Callithrix jacchus: one gene and its partners. The protein of the gene in region 3 interacts with the protein of the main gene of each other region in a pairwise test. Links are inferred from orthologs where the notes say so. Each region holds a gene or a part of one and is shown on either strand. Other genes may lie near its edges.

The links.
Region 1: the proteins of HABP4 (region 3) and YBX1 interact in a two-hybrid assay, tested with the Homo sapiens proteins (2 studies listed by BioGRID and IntAct). The link is inferred for Callithrix jacchus from reciprocal best matches to the Homo sapiens genes HABP4 and YBX1.
Region 2: the proteins of HABP4 (region 3) and RACK1 interact in a two-hybrid assay, tested with the Homo sapiens proteins (2 studies listed by BioGRID). The link is inferred for Callithrix jacchus from reciprocal best matches to the Homo sapiens genes HABP4 and RACK1.
Region 4: the proteins of HABP4 (region 3) and C1QBP interact in a two-hybrid assay, tested with the Homo sapiens proteins (2 studies listed by BioGRID and IntAct). The link is inferred for Callithrix jacchus from reciprocal best matches to the Homo sapiens genes HABP4 and C1QBP.

Annotation. Positions count from the first base shown.
Region 1 is NC_133508.1:79,326,959-79,331,924, reverse strand, and holds the start of YBX1 (Y-box-binding protein 1), read right to left. Parts: upstream 3,255-4,966; 5' UTR 3,116-3,254; coding exon 2,950-3,115; intron 2,274-2,949; coding exon 2,210-2,273; intron 1-2,209. UniProt on the Homo sapiens protein: DNA- and RNA-binding protein involved in various processes, such as translational repression, RNA stabilization, mRNA splicing, DNA repair and transcription regulation.
Region 2 is NC_133503.1:73,612,353-73,616,632, reverse strand, and holds the end of RACK1 (small ribosomal subunit protein RACK1), read right to left. Parts: intron 3,869-4,280; coding exon 3,773-3,868; intron 3,452-3,772; coding exon 3,341-3,451; intron 3,243-3,340; exon of another isoform or gene 3,013-3,242; coding exon of another isoform or gene 2,990-3,012; intron 2,688-2,989; coding exon 2,547-2,687; intron 2,181-2,546; coding exon 2,070-2,180; intron 1,209-2,069; coding exon 1,143-1,208; 3' UTR 1,087-1,142; downstream 1-1,086. UniProt on the Homo sapiens protein: Scaffolding protein involved in the recruitment, assembly and/or regulation of a variety of signaling molecules. Interacts with a wide variety of proteins and plays a role in many cellular processes.
Region 3 is NC_133502.1:77,345,778-77,350,063, forward strand, and holds part of HABP4 (intracellular hyaluronan-binding protein 4), read right to left. Parts: intron 3,630-4,286; coding exon 3,458-3,629; intron 696-3,457; coding exon 510-695; intron 1-509. UniProt on the Homo sapiens protein: Ribosome-binding protein that promotes ribosome hibernation, a process during which ribosomes are stabilized in an inactive state and preserved from proteasomal degradation.
Region 4 is NC_133506.1:106,967,928-106,972,854, reverse strand, and holds the start of C1QBP (complement component 1 Q subcomponent-binding protein, mitochondrial), read left to right. Parts: upstream 1-1,888; 5' UTR 1,889-1,981; coding exon 1,982-2,222; intron 2,223-2,776; coding exon 2,777-2,927; intron 2,928-4,927.

The DNA of each region.
Region 1 (4,966 bases), on a different chromosome or scaffold from region 3:
TGGAACCCAGGAGGTGGGGGCTGTGGTGAGCCGCACCACTGCACTCCAGCCCGGGCAATAACAAAATCTTACAATCCTAGAATATATAATCCAGCGCATCCAAAAATTGCAATTAAAAGTTGTCACACTAGTCATCCCAAACACTGCACCCTCTCCTTTATATAGAAAACAGCACACGTAATGTGTCAGTCTGTCTCCTTCCCTCTTAAGAACCAGGTGCCTCCAGCCAAGTCTATTTGTTCTACTACATGAACCACATATAGAACCAACTGCTGGCTTCCAAACTGATTTAACACATACTTTCCTTAATTAAAGCAAACCTTCCCTGTATTTAATTGGAGTCAGATTTTACAGCATCTTATCAAAAAGTGTCAGTCATTAAAACAACCAGTTCAGAAGCATAAAGAACATTTTAACCAGTCAATTTGACAAAATAATTGAGGTTAGGATAGTCCAAACAAAAGACCATCAAAAGCCAATTCACAATTTGCCCTGGAGGATGACCAATTGAGTTGATTCCAATTCAGAACAGAGATATTCAATGAATGACACCTCATGAAATACTTGTAAGAATTACTCTTATTTTGGATAAAACTTGATTTTTAAAAATGTGATAACCTATGCCACTCAACAAAATGTAGCGAAACATGGCACACGCTAAACTTCATACATACAAAACTGCAATCTACCCACTGAAAAGGCTGCAAATCTGCACACCAAAGTTACCATTACATTGGGTCAAGGGTTAAAAGCAGTGATTTTGAAGGTATGGCTCACATTATTCTTGCTAAAAAATGTACCCAGACCTAGGCAAGCACACTTAAATCTGAAAAACACTGGTTGAAGGGTTAGACTAGTTCGGAGACTCAGAATAAGACAGAAACACAAACTAAAACACTAGTAAGTTCAGAAAGATCAGTTAAAAAGCTATCAGTATATCAATCATATATAAGCATTCCCCTCCTTCCTTGCTAATAAGCTATTATCAAAAAATTAATGAAAAACATAGTTACAGCCACAACAGTGGCAACAGTATAGAAGGTTGGAAAATCCTAAGATTTTGGAAGAAACAAAACGTTTTCCCACAATTGCAAAAGTAGAGAATAGACCATCAAATGCTTCTCTCTTACTCTGTTTCCACGATAATGTATGATTGATTAATGAACGAACGGTTTTTCATCAAGCTATGATTGTCTGTCCTTAAGCTTGATTTCGTCCATTTGTTGTCCACTCCACAAACATTCTTAATTGTTCTTTTAATCATCTGCTTAGGTCTTCTACAGTAAGAGAATGCTGAGATGGCACTATGTACCATACCTATAAGGCCAAGATTCCTATTGGCATACCCAGGGCTCTACACTCATGTAAACTGCACTACTAAGCCTTGGCAGCCATCTTGAAAATGATGCCTGGCTCACAAGGGAGCCCATGGAATCCAGTGTACTGCACATTACCAGCAACAACCCGAAAGTAAGTCCTAAAGATGGAGCCTGCAGCTTTGCCTTCAAGCAAGAACAATGTCAAGTTACCAGGGACTATGGCCACTCTAAGCTATAGCCAGAAATCTAATAGAAATCGATTTAATCAGTATGATTTTAGGACAAGGAAGAATGAAAAATAAGAACTGAAGAAAGCAAAGAACCATTTTCTAGCAGATACATTATTCTATGAGCAAATAAAAACAGCTTCTCTCTGGTGCTAATATAAAATTTATCTAAGGTATTACAATGAAGGTGAAAAAGGCAACACCTCTCGGTAAAGATGACAAAACCTCATATACTTGGCACGTCAAATCTTACCCCCAAAATGTTAACAAGGTGTAAATATCCGATGTCAGTGGATCACTCTCTCAAACACCGAGTTCAATCAAGTAGAAAAGGATAACAAGGATAAAAATGTACAGGACCGTAGTTTCCCGTTTACCCTGTTAAGGCATGGCTCATTCACTTTGCTTGCCTTTTAAATTGCTTTGTACTGTAAGAAAGCCTTTGAAGTTGGCTTCAAATTAACATTTAGCTGCAAAACAAAGACCTTCTCTAGATCCACTAATCCCTCCAGTCGTCAAGGAATTAAAAAAAAAAAAAAAAAAAATCACACTAATACACCAGAGGTAGTAAACGCCCTTCGGGGCTTCCCAAGCGCCAAGAAGCCGACAGAGCAGGCAACAAGCGAGACAGTGGGATGGAAGCTTCAGGGTCCGGGAGCTCACCTGTTGATGAAACCATATCCGTTCCTTACATTGAACCATTTTACTGTTCCCAAAACCTTCGTTGCTGGAAAAGAAAACAAAGCAAAACAAGCCACGATTACCACCTATCCTTTTCCAAACCCGCCCGGCTTCGGTCTCCGGTCCCTAGGACGCTGCCCGCTAGGCCACCTGACAGCCCTTTCTCTCCACCTCCCGGGTGCCGGGCCACGCCACCACCGCCGCCGCCGCACACGTGGGTGAGTCTGAAGCCGCGGGGCGCTCCAGGGCAGGCCCGGGGCGCGGGCCCAGAATGGGTGTGTGCGCAGGCCGCGGGCGGAGAGCACGTGAGGGAAGGGGAAGCCGCCCCGGCCCACTCCGGCCTGCGTAGGCGGTGCGCCGCGCCCTCTGAGCACACGCGGAAGGGAGCTGGGTGGGGGAGACGCGAACAACGGCGTGCGGGCCACAGCGCACGAGGCCGGTCGCGGGGAGGGGACCCCGTCGCACACGCGGTTGGCGGGCGCGCGACCGCAGGGGGAGGGGCGCGCGTCCGCGCGGGGTCCACAGGGGGCGCAGGAGGCAGAGCGCGCGCGCCTGCCGGGCGGGCCCCCGTGAGGATGAGTGGGGGTGCTGGGGGAGGGGCGGCCGCGCGCCGCGGAGTCGGTCCCCGCCGGCCGCGCGCCCGCCGGCTCGCCCTGCACAGGCTAACGGTTCCGCTGCCAGGCTGCCCGAGGGCCCCACACCCGTCCCCGTCCGGCCCTCACCGATGACCTTCTTGTCCCCGCCGGCAGGCGCCGCCGATGTGAGGCCGCCCGGGCCACCGCTCCCTGCGCCGCTGCCCGTAGTGCCGGGCTTGGTGTCGGCGGCGCTGAGGGCGGGGGCGGCGGGGGGGGCGGCGGGCGGCTGCTGGGTCTCGGCCTCGCTGCTCATGGTTGCGGTGATGGTGACTGGGGCCGGCTACGGCAGCTACGGCTCCTCCCGGGATGTGATGGTAACTAGGCCGGCGGCGGCGGTGGGGCTGCTCAGGGCTCTCTGGGGTCCGCTCTCCGCTCCCGCTACCGATCGAACTAGCGAGAATGGCGGGACAGGCGGGATAAGCCCTACGATCGACCCGCCCTAGGCGTTGTTCACTGGCCACTGCTGCTGTCAATCTGCCCACCTGACCCCAATTCCTGGCTTCTACTGGATAATATTTTATCAGTTCTCCACTCTCATTGGCCCTTTGGCGGCTAATTCAGCCGACCTACAACCGTTCCTGCCTCCGCCGGCCGCCATAGAGACCGGAACTAGAATTAGAGTAGTCGGCCACAAAAACCATAGAGTACCCGAGAGGACGGGCAGAGAGAACGTGATTTCCACGAGGCAGCCGCCGGGCTGGCTAGCCCCACGTTCAGGGTTGTGTCCCAGCTGAAGAAAAGGCACGCCCGAATGCTGGGCAGGAATTACCCGGCCGGACCCGAGATTGGAGGGGGGCCCGACTACGCATTAGCCCTTCGTAAAGAGAAGGCTTCCCTCCCTCTCTGCTCCAAATACAGTCCTTGTGATCTGAGAACATGACTGCAGGCATAAAGTCATCTTTTCTTTAATGGCCGTGTTGTGGCGGCACAGCCTATGGTTTCTGGAATTGCCTTAAACGTATGCGTTTGAGGAGCTTACGCTTTTGTCGGAGCAGTCACCTTGGAGGGACCACGCAGGCTCAGACAGCCTGGGCTCAGCACGTTTAGCATGTTTAAGGCGAGGGTGTGCTCCATGGGGACCTGCCTTCTGATCCGTTTTACCAGGCATACACATGTATTAAAAAGAAGTGTCTTCGAGTGTTCATGTCTTTTTCTACTGGCCACAAATCAGATTTAATTCAACTCACATTTATTGAACAAGCTAGCCTGTTTGGTTTTTCCATTTTATTCCGACAACAGCCATGTGATAGAAGGATTACTATCCACGTTTCACAAACGATAAAATTGAGGCTGCCACCTGATGTTACTGAAGTCCTCCACCCACCGTCTTTCGTTCTTTTTTAAGCGTCTACTATCGGCTGGGGATGGAATAGTTCTCGAGTCAGTTTCTGCCTTCTGATGGCGGCAGGAATTTAAACAGCTAGCACTGGAAATACTCGAGAGCTGCAAAAGCACGAAATATTGGGCCGGGCGTGGGTTCACGCCTGTAATCCAAGCACTTTGGAGGCCAAGGCGGGCGGATCACCTGAGGTCGGGAGTTCAAAACTAGCCTGACCAACATGGTGAAACCCCGTCTTTAAAAAAATAAAATTAAATTAAAAGCACGAAGTATTTTGGGAGTGGAAGCAGGGAGAAGGTGGAGGGCTGACTTTCCGCTCACAGGGTACAGGCGAGAAGAGGTGGGATCTCGGGAAATGCAAGTCAAGTAGTTCAATAAGACTCCAGTGTGGCATTGGGTTGCAGAGGTGGGCAGGGTCACAGGTATATTTAATTGGAAATATATCCTAAGGGCAAGAGTGAGAAGAGCAATTTTAGAGTCATAAGTAGGGAGGGGCATCTTTTTAAAAATGACTGCTGAGTGGAGAATGGGTTGCAAAGGGGCAAGGAATGGAAGTAGAGAAAGCAGTTAGGAGGCTAGTGCAGTATCCCTTACCCCTACCAATGCCGCCTAGGCCTGTCAATTCCACCTCCTAAAGGCCGTCCTGAGTCAGTCCTAAACTCTGTAAATGTCAGTTCAGAGTCTTTTCATTCCTACTGCCACTACTCAAGGTCATCATCAGTTGCTTAGAGCAAGGAGTAGGGAAACCGTTTTCTGTGAGAGCAA
Region 2 (4,280 bases), on a different chromosome or scaffold from region 3:
GGCTTAAGTGGGCCTTCAGTTGATTAGCCATCACACAACTGCAGAGAAACTTCAAGGACAGTGGGGTCTCAGCCATATTTTGAATGGTTCATCCCTAAGTTTTCTATCTGAAGCTAATTAATTGTAGTTTAACAGCTGACTTCTGGCCTTTCACAAGGCATCTATCCTCTTGAGTAACCTGAGTGGTTGAGGGCCAGGTTAGCAGCAGTGGAAATGTTTAGTAGGGCCAACTTTATGGTTATGTTTATGAATACTTTCTGACCACCCCAAAACTTTTAACCTGTAATTATGAGGAATAAATAAGTTGTAAACTCTAGTGAGAGTTGAATTAAAAACTCAGATGGGTCTGGTGGCTCACACCTATAATCCCAGCCCTTTGGGAGGCTGAGATGGCAAGATCTCTTGATGCTGGAAGTTCTGGCCCAGCCTGGCCAACATGGCAAAACCCCGTCTCTATTGAAAAATACAAAAGTTAGCTGGTGTGGTTACAGGAGGCTGTAATCCCAGCTACTCAGGAGGTTGTACTGAGCTGAGATCATGCCACTGCACTCCAGCCTGGGCAACAGAGCAAAACTCATCTCAAAAACACACACACACACACACAAAAAACAACAAAAAACCTCTTGATTTTCCTCAAAGACCCAAGTTGATAGAGACTGCCAGGCCAAGCTTAAAGAAGTCTTCTGAACTATATTCAAGTCTTAAGAGGAATGAGGATTCATCTTTGTTCCATTCTTATGTGTCAGGGGTTAGACGTGAGGAGTCTGCTTTTCCTGAAAATTGACTGCAACCACCTTGAAATAATCAGTCCTTTCCCTCAAGGTTCCCCAGGTGGAAGGTAGGTCCTGATGATCTGCACCTGATAGGTGGTACACTGATGGGGTTTAGGTTCAGGGAAAATGCTATGATTTCTCATTAACATCCCACTTTATGCTACCCCAATCCTGAGAACTTAACTCCCCTTCCCCGCTCAAAGCCTTGTTTACTTAGTACATACCTTATGTCCAACTTGCTAGTGCAAATTTCATGCATAAGCAATATAGATAGGGTAAACCCTTTTGCTTATCAGAAAAAAATAACACCTTCTAAAAGTCAAAAAACCCAGTTTTTTCCTTTAATTTGTAAAGCTGTGCCACAAACTTCTAGCGGGTGCCAATGGTCACCTGCCACACTCGCACCAGGTTGTCTGTGTAGCCAGCAAACAGAGTCTGCAGGGGAGAAATGACAATGACAGGTCAGGTTGGCATCATAAACTCTACAGTCTCACTACATTAAGCAAAAGTGGCTTTTTTGAGTCTTGCTCTGTTATCCAGGCTTCAGTGCAGTGGTGAAATCCTGGCTCATTGAAGCCTTGAGCCCCTGCAGTTCAAGTGATACTCCCACCCCAGCCTCGCATAGGCATGTGCCACCATGCTGGGGTGTCTGTAAGAAACCTCTCTCTTGGCCGGGCACAGTGGCTCATGCCTGTAATCTCAGCTCGTTGAGAGGCCAAGGTGGGCAGATCACAAGGTCAAGAGATGAAGACCATCCTGGCCAACATGGTGAAGCCCCACCTCTACTAAAAAATAAAAAAATCAGCTGGGCGTGGTGGTGCACGCCTGTAGTCCCAACTACTCAGGAAGCTGAGGCAGGAGAACCGCTTGAACCAGGGAGATGGAGGTTGCAATGTGCTGGGATCATGCTACTGCACTCCAGCTTGGCAAGATTAAGTGAGACTGTCTCAGCAAGAAAAATGAGACAAAACCCTCTCTCTTCAACAGTCACATTATGTAAGTGGTGGTTATGTATTCCTTGAGGAAGAAACCGCTGGTGATAAGGATCTAGACATTTGAAAACTGATCAGATTAATCAAGGTATTAACTGAAAGCTGATAGCCACTGCCCTCCAGATCAATCTCCCCTCTGATGCAGAAACGTACTCACTGGCATGGCAAATTAGGGCATTATGCTTATGCTGTCATTTCACTTAATGCCAAAGACGCTGCTCTTGTGTCTGACAGACTAGATACACTAACAGAATGAGGGAGAAAAGTCATTGGCCAAGTTACCTAAGAGGACAGACCCACTTACCTGGCCATCAGCAGACCAGGCCAGGGAGGTGCACTGGGGTGGTTCTGCCTTGCTGCTGGTGCTGATAACTTCCTGCTTCAGTTCGTCTACAATGATCTTCCCCTCTAAATCCTGGGGAGAGCAAAAGCACCCTTAAAATGTTTACCAATGACGGACTCCCCTATTAAAAGCCCCTTTATAACTCAAGATTTTCAAGTTACAAAGGGATGATTTTGTTATCAATGCCTAGATGCATTTTTAGTTGCCATAGTGGAAGGGTGGTTTGCTACTGGCATCTAGTAGATGCTGGAAATGCTGTTAAACATCCTAAAATGTACAAGACAGCACTCCACAACAAAGAGTTATCCAGATGTCAATTGTGGATATTGAGTAAGCTTAGCTGCCACATGGGAGTCAGATGGCATATATAGTAACCAAAACATTGTCAGGGCTTAGAGAGTGTAGCCAGGTACTCACTCAACTGTAATCCACACTCACCCAAATCTTGATGCTGGGGCCTGTAGCAGCACAGAGCCAATAGCGGTTAGGGCTGAAGCATAGGGCGTTGATGATGTCCCCACCATCTAGGGTGTAAAGGTGCTTGCCTTCGTTGAGATCCCATAACATGGCCTGGCCATCCTGGGCAAACAGGTAGGTTAATCAGGACACTATGACCTGTTCCAGATGTTAATCCTGCCCATCTCAAGATTCCATCAGAATCAGTTCTTACCTGTCTTCCATTACCCCAGGTTTCTTGAAAGCTAATGACTTGAGTACCAATTTATTTCTATAAGCCCTTCCTTTAACGCAAGACCTTACCAACATTATCAATAAAAATCCTCCCAATTTATATAAACACTGTTATCATTTCTGAAAACTAGGATCTCAATCTCATCAATTGCTTCAAGAAACCAACTTCATAGAAAATAATCTTTTTTCAGGGCACGGTGGCTCACGCCTGTAATCCCAGCACTTTGGGAGGCTGAGGCAGGAGAACTGCTTGAACCCAGGAGGTGGAGGTTGCGGTGAGCCAAGATCGCACCATTGCACTCTAGAATGGGCAAAAAGCAAAATTCCATCTCTAAAAAACAACCCAACTTTTTCTTCTAGACAGTATGCCTTAACTGTCATTTGCTGAATAGTAATCTTTGGAAACATATTCTCAGACTGTCATCTCATTATCCTAAAACCATCTTGGCTAATGTTTGTCATTTTATGGTAGAGATGCTGGTTAAGTGCTCCTTCCATGACACTGTCTTTCACTGAATAGGAAACTCCTAGCCCCCAAATACCTTGCCTCCAGAAGCACAGAGGGATCCATCTGGAGAGACAGTCACTGTGTTCAGATAGCCTGTGTGGCCAATGTGGTTGGTCTTCAGCTTGCAGTTAGCCAGGTTCCATACCTGCATAAATATGACATTGACAGGTGAACAACCTAGCTCTGATCAACTAGGGTCAGACCCAACAAAAAAGGGCTTGGCATTGCTGGATAAAATAGGCATTTATCATTCAGTAACACATCCTGGCCACTTAAAGTTACATTATGACACATACCCAGTGCTATGTCTGGACTTATAAGGGATATCAATTAGCTTCTTCAGATCATGTAACAAGAGAAAGAGTCAACTGAGGGAATCTGTAAAGCCTTACACGGGAGTTGGAGCCTATAACCACCTGGGAGCACAACCTGACTGGTAAAGCCCCTGCTTTGGCTCGAAGCTCACCTTGACCAGCTTGTCCCAGCCGCAGGAGACAATGATAGGGTTGCTGCTGTTGGGTGAGAAGCGGACACAAGACACCCACTCTGAGTGGCTCTCATCCTACAGTGGATGAAAAGGAAATAAGGGGAAACAGTCTGATCCTCTGAAATGCTAGTCCCTCCAGTAGGATGATGACTAACAGCACCTCTCAAAAACCCAGGAAAACCTTTAAGCTCAACAGAATCCCTTTAGATTCTAGACAAGACATTTTTTTTTTAAATTTAGAGATGGGGGCTGGGTGCAGTGGCTCAACGCCTGTAATCCCAGTACTTGGAGAAACTGAGGCGGGTGGATGACCTGAGGTCAGGAGTTCCAAACCCACCTGGCCAACATGGTGAAACCCTTTCTACCAAAAATACAAGAATTAGCTGGGTGTGGTGGCAGGCACCTATAATCCCGGCTACTTGGGAGGCTGAGGCAGGGGACTGTTTGAACCCAGGAGGTGGAGGCTGCAGCAAGCCAAGATTGCCAC
Region 3 (4,286 bases):
GCAGGCAGAGGCCAGGGGTAAGGAGCATGCTGTGTTGAGAGCTGGAAGCAGGCAGCCGTGGCCGAGGACAGTGTGAGGCAGGTGAGCCGAGTGAGGGAGGTCCCCTCACAAAGGGCTTGAGGTCTTAGTAAGGACTTTGTCCACTCTGCCAGCATCACATGAGCCCAGGACATATAATCAGGTCACAGGAAGCAAAACGTCAGGTGTTCCAGTTCAATCCCGAGCTGGGGAGCTCATCTAATGCAGATGAGAGTGAGTTTTCTCCGATCCGGAGACTGCCTTCACGGCAGACCCTGGAAGCCAGGGCTACAGAATGGTCTCTCACCGATGGATGTCCATGATGCTACAACACAGTCCAAATGCCCCAACATCAGTCCCACACTGGCTACAGGAAGAAGCAACTGCAGAAACTGATGACCCTCTGAAATTAGAACATCCTGGGCCTGGGGCACTGTCCTTATCTACTTCCTTCAGCAAACCACCTGAGAATTTACAATACCGATACCTACCACCACTTCTGCTCTGGGTCCATAGTTCTCTGCCCTCCTGATCCTTCCCCGGCCTCCCCGGTTGCCTCCTCTGGCTCCACGCCCGGGACGAGGGAGGTTACCAAAATTAATCTCCAGCTGAGATGTGATGTCATTGGCGGCTTTCCGGAAAACATGGGAATCGTCCTCATAGTCATCTTTTACCATCTGAAACATAGTTACAGCATCAAACACAAGTCCACAGCCATCCCCACACTCAGCTGCCTTAGTGGCTGCGATGTGCTGCCCAGGAGCTAAAACACCAGCAGGGGCCAGACAGAGCCCTAGGCTGCAGCGCTGGACAAAGGAAGACAGCACTGCTGTTTCTGTACCTGTTGCAGTCCCCCATTCTTGCAATTCCAAACATCCGTGAACTTACTATGATTCAAAGGTGGGTGGGACCAAATTTCTATTAGCTGAGCAGGTTAAGATGTAAGATTTGGCATGAGCAATCATAGCAAATGATATACATGTTTTATATCTAAGTGCATTTTGCTGAGATAAAGCTTTCATTTCTGCTTATTTTCTGTCTTATCTGCTCACAAATGCTTTGATAAATAAGGAAACGTCCCCTTTCCAGAATAGAACAGAGAAATTCCTTTCAGCAGGGGTGCTGACTATAAATATCAGGTGCTAAAAGTCACATGACTTATAATAAACAATTCTGACCCAAAATATAGAGAAATTTTATAAAATAACAGAGTACAGGTACCTGAGTGCTCTACCAACGCTGCACAAGGAAGTTAGGCTGCTTTTTTTTTTTTTTACTTAAAACTCTATCTCTTGTTACAACTATATTAAATAAATTAATTAAATCGGATCCAAATTTGATTTGGCTTCAACTCCTAATAATGGATAAAACAAAACAAAACAAATAAACTAAAATCCTACAGAAAGGAAACCTGTCAATGACCTCGGGTGAGAATCTCCAAAGTGCTGGAACAGTAAACATTCCTACAACCAGGAAACGGGACACAACTGCCATGAGCACATCGAAACCTTTAGGCCACAGGCTCATGATGGGCTTCGTGTTTAACATTTGCGTCCCCTTTAAGGTCTCAGGTTAAAGCAGAGGCTTTAGGTAGTTGGACACTTAATGCTAAGAGGATGAAGAGAAACAATCCAGGAGCACTGGCACTCTGTGAAAAGGTAAACACACAAAAATAGTAACAGGCAAAATAATCAACTCTTGCATTGTTTGGCACTGGCAGGGAGAGCACTGGTAAGTTCTGTCCCGGGGCGCTGCCTCTGCAGGAAGGGCCATGGGGCGGTAAAACGGGGTGAACCCAGTCTAAGGGCTCCACTTGCAGCTCCAGCTGGCCCCGCCAAAGTGCTTCAACTGCCCAGGGCCTTACACGGGGTTGTTATTAGGTCTGAACTTTGCTAGGTGTTCTAGCGCTTCTGTATTTTCAGGTGTCCAGAACAAAGTAAACTGATGAACTGAAGATCTGGCTGATGTTGCTTTAGAATTGTTCTTAAAGCAACATAATCCTCAAGATTATGTTATAAAGTCCTCAATCCCCTAAGATTAACAAGGACCAAGATGTGTGCTTTACCGAGACCAAGCTCGATGACTCAGCTAACCCACTTGCTTCAAATATTCTGAGAGACCTCTGGAGCCAGGGAGGATGAATCTGGCATGGATTAAAGAAGGGCAGCTTCTATTTTTACCTAACATGTCAGCTGCACATTTCAACCCTGACAGCACATTTGTTTTAGAGAAAGTTTTATTTACAATGCCTAGAACAAAGAACAAAGGAAGTGGACAAGTAAAGAACCAACCCAGCTCGCTAATGGACTTAGAAAACACCTGCCTGGGATCGCCAGGGAAATAAGGCTCTGGCCACCTAGTCTACAAAAAGCCATTTCTTGTGAACAGCTCAAAGCTTAGTAGTAAGGCCTCCTACAGCTTGGGCTGGCCAAAACAAGAAGGTGGGAGAGAATCCTGTATCTTAAATACCCTCTAATCAAAGTATTCACTCAGAAAACAAAACTAACTGAAGTGTCAATCACTCTACAATAGTATAACATTCCTGAGATTCCAAATGAAAATCAATGACTGATACCCTGCACAGGGGAAGTGCCTGCTCATTCCCACCCTGACACAGTGACTGGTATCAAGCTGTAACTGAATGACACAGATTCTAAATCCCATGATGAGAATGCTTCAATGGACCTATCCTTAAGTTCACTAACATACACAGGTGACTCGATGACCAGCGGCATCCCTATCAACATACACTGCTAGATATTTCCCCAGAAACCTCCCCCTGCAAAACGGAAGCATCTGAGAAGAGCTAGATGTGAGTCTTGAGAAATAAGGCCCTCACAACACAGGAGATCCCTGAGCAACCCTCGCAGCATGCTGGCCACTGTGGCAGCGCCTGACTAAGCTGCCAGGCAATTTGGGGGCTCATCTTCTGCCACATCTGCAGTTAGGCAGGGGGCGCGAAGCTGCTGAACCAACATGGGAAAGCCGTCAGAAGAGCATGGCACCTCAACCACAGTTTAAAAAGTCATCAACTACTCACACTGAAATGCTCTCATCAAGAATCAGAGCTGAAGGTAAACCTAATTAGGGAATACAGAGTGTAATTATCCTTTGAATAACTTTGAATTGTACAAGAAACAATCTGTAACTCTCACTTGAGAAAAATGCAGTTAACACACAGTGTGTGTACAGTCCCAGGGTGAGCAGGAGATGCACTGTTAATCAAACTGCTTTGCGTTTCTGTCAGTAACACAAAGTTTCAATTCCTTTCCTTAATGAGCAATAAAGACACAGTAAAATTGGGCATATATCATCTCTGATTAGAAACAAGAGCACCAACCACTAATGTTCCATTTTCAAGATGGAAGTGGAAAGGTGCATTTCACTTCCAATAAGGTAAAAGTAAAGATTACCTCTACATACAAAATATAATGCTTACATCATCTCTATATTTTGACTTGTGAATCACCACTGCTTTGGAAGGAACAGTGGATTCTGGTTTCCGGATGTTAAACTCAGGCTTTGGTCTGGTCTGTTCTTGAAGATTTTTCCACTCATCTAAAGTCATCTCTTGAACTTGAGTTTCTTCTTCTACCTCCAACTCAGGAACTCTATAAAGAGATGTATAATCATAAATAATAATTTTTGATGGTACTGAAATGTCTACTTTATTAAAGTTATAACCATTAATTAAACATACTTTTGTGGTACTGCATCTCAAATGTAAATAAGGTAAGACAATCTTTGACTCACAAGCTTCCATATTTTATTTTCAACATTTTATGTCATCACTGCCAACAGAAGATACTTCCTGTGTTCAAAGCAATCTTTGAAAAATGGGAACATCATCATCCTGATGACATTAACATTACACTTCACCACTGGCACTCCCTTCCAGAGAGCATGACAGACAAAATGAGGCAATTATGGAAAATGGGAGAAGCTACCAAAATAACATACAGGAAACCATAAACAGAAGTTTTAAAGCAGTGGCTCATAAATGCATACTTTTGTAGCTCTCCTCTTTAAATTAATGAGTTTTAAAAAGAAAACAAAGACAGACATATAGATTGATAGAATAGAATTCAGAGTCCAGAAATAAACCCTCACATTTACGGTCAATTGATTTTTTTTTTTTCCAATCATGGTGCCAAAGACAATTCAATGGAGAATGGAAAGTACTTTCAACAAATGGTGCTGGGACAACTGGATATCCACCTCAAAAGAAAGAATGAAGTTGGACTCCTGCCTCACACCATCAATATAAG
Region 4 (4,927 bases), on a different chromosome or scaffold from region 3:
ACATATTCCTACAAAGAAATAAATCGTTGTTTATATTGAGCTGCAGGGGATAGTACACTTTAAACTTAGGAAAGTTAAACGTTTCACAATAACACTGCAATATAATCCTCAGCTACTCTTTTTCCATTGGTAAAATCTCTGATGATGTGATACCTCTTTGCTTCTTGTAAATAGATGCACTCCACCCAGATTGCATGCCTCAGGTGTTTGCCTTCTAGTAATCATGGAGTGTGCAGCACCCAGAGTAACACATATTTTACTACAAGGGGCAGGACTGCAAACACCATGTCCTGGATAAAAACCCTAATGCTGCATTGCTGCCAGTTGCAAAGAGATGCCTGAATGGAAGCAAGTTTTGCACTGTGGGTAAAACTGATTATGTACTGTACTGTGATATATAAATCCTAAATCCAGCTACCAGGAACTGCCTGGAACTGTGGCCATGCATTTTTTTTTTTTTTTTAAAGACCAGTGTGATAATAGGCCATGCATCTAAGATAGCATTCCTTGGTAACTAGAGGGAGGAGGAAAAAAATCAAGTAGGTTCAGGCTTTTGTTTGTGTAGAAATAACTACAGAAAGCTCTTGTACATAATGCTCAAGTTTGCACCCGATGATCAAATCCATTAAAAACTAATCTTACATGATGTGTGTGGCTCGTTTTCTGAATCTCCTTTCCGTTATTCATTGAAAATTGTTTAGAAAATAGCTTTTCTTTTCTTATAAAGGTGTCCTGTGACTCAGGAGTGTTCAGAAGATATTAAGTGTTAGTCTTATCATGAGTTAGTAAGCCATACCTTCTTGGTAGCTTATATGTCCTGTGTATCCTGAGAAGGTGGGATTCTTGGTTCTTAATCTAAATCTGAACCCCCTCTTTGGGTTATATGAATTTACTTGAGCCTCTCACAGAACTCAGGGAAACACATTTACTGGTTTAATGTAAAGGATATGACCGAGGATGCGGATAAGGAGATGAGCTCCCCTCCCAGGGCTACAGCCCTCCAGGAACCTCCAAGTGTTTAGCTCTCAGAGGCTCTCCAAACCCTGTCCTCTTGGGTTTTTATGGAAGCTTCCAAACTTCAGCATCTCTTTCCCCAAGGTATAGGGTGGGACCTTCTCTGGGGAGGGACTTAAGACCCACAATCAGAAATGTGGGGGGAGATGAGAGTCCCGCTATGGGGCCTGTGAAAGGGGAGGAGGAGGGGAGAGAGATTCTATTCTCTGAGGCCTAACACACCCAACATTATCACAGAACACTGTAACAAGGGCTGTGAGAGTTAAGAGCCAGGAACTGTGGATGAAAACCTATACACACACACACACACACACACAGTGGATGAAAACCTATACACACACACACACACACACTGGATGAAAACCTATACACACACCGTGACACCACAGCCTCCCAGGAACTGTGGATGAAAACCTACACACACACACACACACTGGATGAAAACCTATACACACACCGTGACACCACAGCCTCCCAGGAACTATGGATGAAAACCTACACACACACACACACACACACACTGTAACACCACAGCCAGGAACTGTGGATGAAAACCTGTACACACACACACAGAAACACCACAGCCTCCTAGAGGAAAGTGACCGTGTAAGGGTCTGGTAAGAGCTGAGGGGAGACAAGAGTGCATTCCACGCAGCCCAAAAACGGTGTGGCTTGAGACCAGTAGATGGAAAATGTCTAAGCAGCCACCGAAGGGAATTAAACAGCTTCGGACAGCGGCCTCAGGCTAACGCAGCAAGAAAGCTCGCGGAAAAAATTCGAGGCTTCCCGGGCTATACCGGAGGTCTCCAGCAGAGGGCGCGATTCCTCCCACTGGCCTTAGGTCTTCAGAGCGCCGGCGCGGGAAGCGCTTCCTGACGGGGCGGGGCTTCCGGCAGCGGGCTAGGTCGCGGGGAGCCTAGAGTTGGGTAGTCCTTTGCGTCTGCACGTGTTCCTAGTCCTCTCCGCGATGCTGCCTCTGCTACGCTGCGTGCCCCGTGTACTGGGCTCCTCCGTTGCCGGCCTCCGCGCCGCGGCTCCCGCCTCGCCTGCTTCGCCATTCCGGCAGCTCCTGCAGCCGGCGCCCCAGCTCTGCGCCCGGCCCTTCGGGCTGCTCAGCGTGCGCGCAGGTTCCGAGCAGCGGCCGGGCCTCCTGCGGCCTCGCGGGCCCTGCGCCTGCGGCTGTGGCTGCGGCGCGCTGCACACCGAAGGTGAGGTTCATGCTCGTGGGCCAGGGCTGTTGTTGGGGTTTGCGGTCTACGAAAGAAAAACGTAGACCAGGAGTGGCGCCTGCAACCGACCTCCGAGATCTGGGACATTATTCCATTGATTGGCAACCAGCGGGTTAAACCCACGTGTGATCATATTTCCCCACCTCGCCTTTCCACAAGTTTCATTTTCTGTTGGAACGGGGTAGATAAATACTAGAGGGTACCTCTATCCTTAGCTTTAGTCTCTCAAAAGTGGACCTTTGGGAAAGCCCAAGGTCGTGATTGAAAATAGCATAGTTAAATCGTTTGGCAGTGGAAGAGGATGCCTGGAAGTTCTTCTGCTTTACAACAGAAGGTGGCAATGCGTTCGCTGTTGGACGTCCTTAGCTTCGCAATACTATTGTGTTATTTTTACAGATAAGGAAACTGAGGCTTCCAGAGTAAGCATAATAGCAGAGATTAGAAACAGGCCAGATTTCTGGCTACAATAACTTGGGTAATAATTTTATGTTTTAGACTAACTGGCTTCCCTTTTAATGTATCTGGATTTCTAGGAGACAAAGCTTTTGTTGATTTCCTGAGTGATGAAATTAAGGAGGAAAGAAAAATCCAGAAGCATAAAACCCTCCCTAAGATGTCTGGAGGTTGGGAGCTGGAACTGAATGGGACAGAAGCTAAATTAGTGCAGAAAGTTGCTGGGGAAACGTAAGTACTGGTCTGGGGATTCCAGGGCACCAACTCCATTACCCTGCAAGACCCGTCGTGGATCATCCCCAGAAGAGCCTTGAGTTCAGGTGTGGATTCTTTGATAAATGGTTTTCAAGCGAGTGAAGGATTCATTTGGACAAATTTATAAGTTCCAGATAGTTGATTCACTGAACACAAATTTGCTGTGGGCTGATTACTAAGGAGACAAAAATGAACACAAAAAAGTACTGGCAGAATCAGATTGATCTCTGGTTTACAGCGCCAGTAAAGTAGGACCCTGGTCTCTTAATGTCCAGAGTGGGTGAAAATGCAACATGTAACTTCTGTGTAACAGAATGGGGTTACACTGTAGTCAGGGCTGCCATCAGAGGTTGGGAGTTTGTGACCTAAGGCAGCTCTCCCACCTTCTAAGCTAACTGTTGAAGTGTTTACAATTTTTTTGCATTATAGTCATCCATAATCTTATTACACAGATAAACACTTAGTATCTTCCAGGTTTTTAAAATTGAATTATTTTATAATAGACCTTATGATGTATATATAACTTTTTTTTTTTGAGAGGAGTTTGGTTCCTGTTGCCCAGGCTGGAGTGCAATGGCATGATCTCAGCTCAATGCACCCTCTGCCTCCCAGGTTCAAGCGATTCTCCTGCCTCAGCCTCCTGAGTTAGTTGGGATTACAGGCATGCGCCACCACACCCAGCTAGTTTTGTATTTTTAGTAGAGACAGGGTTTTGCCACGTTGGTCAGAATGGTCTTGATCTCCTGACCTCATGATCCGCCCACCTTGGCCTCCCAAAGTGCTGGGATTACAGGTGTGAGCCACCTCACCCAGCCTTTAATTATTTTTTTAAGTGACAGCTTTAATGAGATTTAATTTATATACCATAAAATTTACCCATTTATTGAAGCTTATTAAATTGTTTCTTAGTCCTCATAAAATTATGCATCAGATACCACTAACTAATTCTAGAACATTATTGTCATCTCCAAAGAATACCATTAGCAGTCACTCCTGATTCCTCCATCTAGCCACTGCAGGCAATCACTAATCTACTTTCTCTATAGATTGCCTCTTTTGGTCATTTCATATAAACAGAGTCCTACAATATGCAGCTTTCTCCCTACCCCATGGAGTCTTGCTCTGTCATACAGGCTGGAGTGCAGTGGCAGGATCTCGGCTCACTGCAACCTCTGCCTCCTGGGTTCAAGCAATTCTCCTGCCTCCGCCTCCTGAGTAGCTGGGATTATAGGCGCATGCCTGGCTAATTTCTGTGTTGTAGTGTTGGCCAGGCTGGTCTTGAACTCCTGACCTCATGATCTACCTGCCTAGGTCTCCCAGAGTGCTCCAATTACAGGTGTGAGCCACGCTGCCCAGCCTATTTACCTTTTTAATTGTTGGGTTTTAAGAGTTCTTTAGTTTATTCTGGGTATAATTCTCTTATCACATTAATGATTTGCATGTATTACTTCCCATTTTGTGGGTTTTCTTTTCATTCTTGGTAATGTCCTCTGACACAAAAGTTATTTATTTTGATGAAGTTCATTTTAACCTGTTTTTTTTTTTTTGGGTCACTTGCGCTTTTTTACTTTTTACTTTGCTTTTGATTCACCAAGTGCAACTTGTGCTTTTTTAGTGTCACATCCAAGAAACCACTGCCTAATCCAAGGTTGTGAAGATTGATGCCTTATTTTTTTCAAAGCGTTTTCTAGTTTTAGCTCTTAGTTTAGGTCTCCGATCCATTTTGAGTATGGTGTAAAGTAAGGTCCTGATTCGCTTTGCCTATTGCATAGCGTGTTTTTTCCCATACACAGGTCAGTTGTGTCATCATTTAAAAACCATTTGCACAAGCTTTTCACAGCTATTTGAGGGCCATTAAAAATAACAGTGACGAACATCATTGCAGGAGCTCAGCTTGGTCAGCACAGTTAGAATTAAATAGATTTCTGTCAACTTCAGACTGCCACTGTTATTATGGAAAAGTGACTTCATGGCAC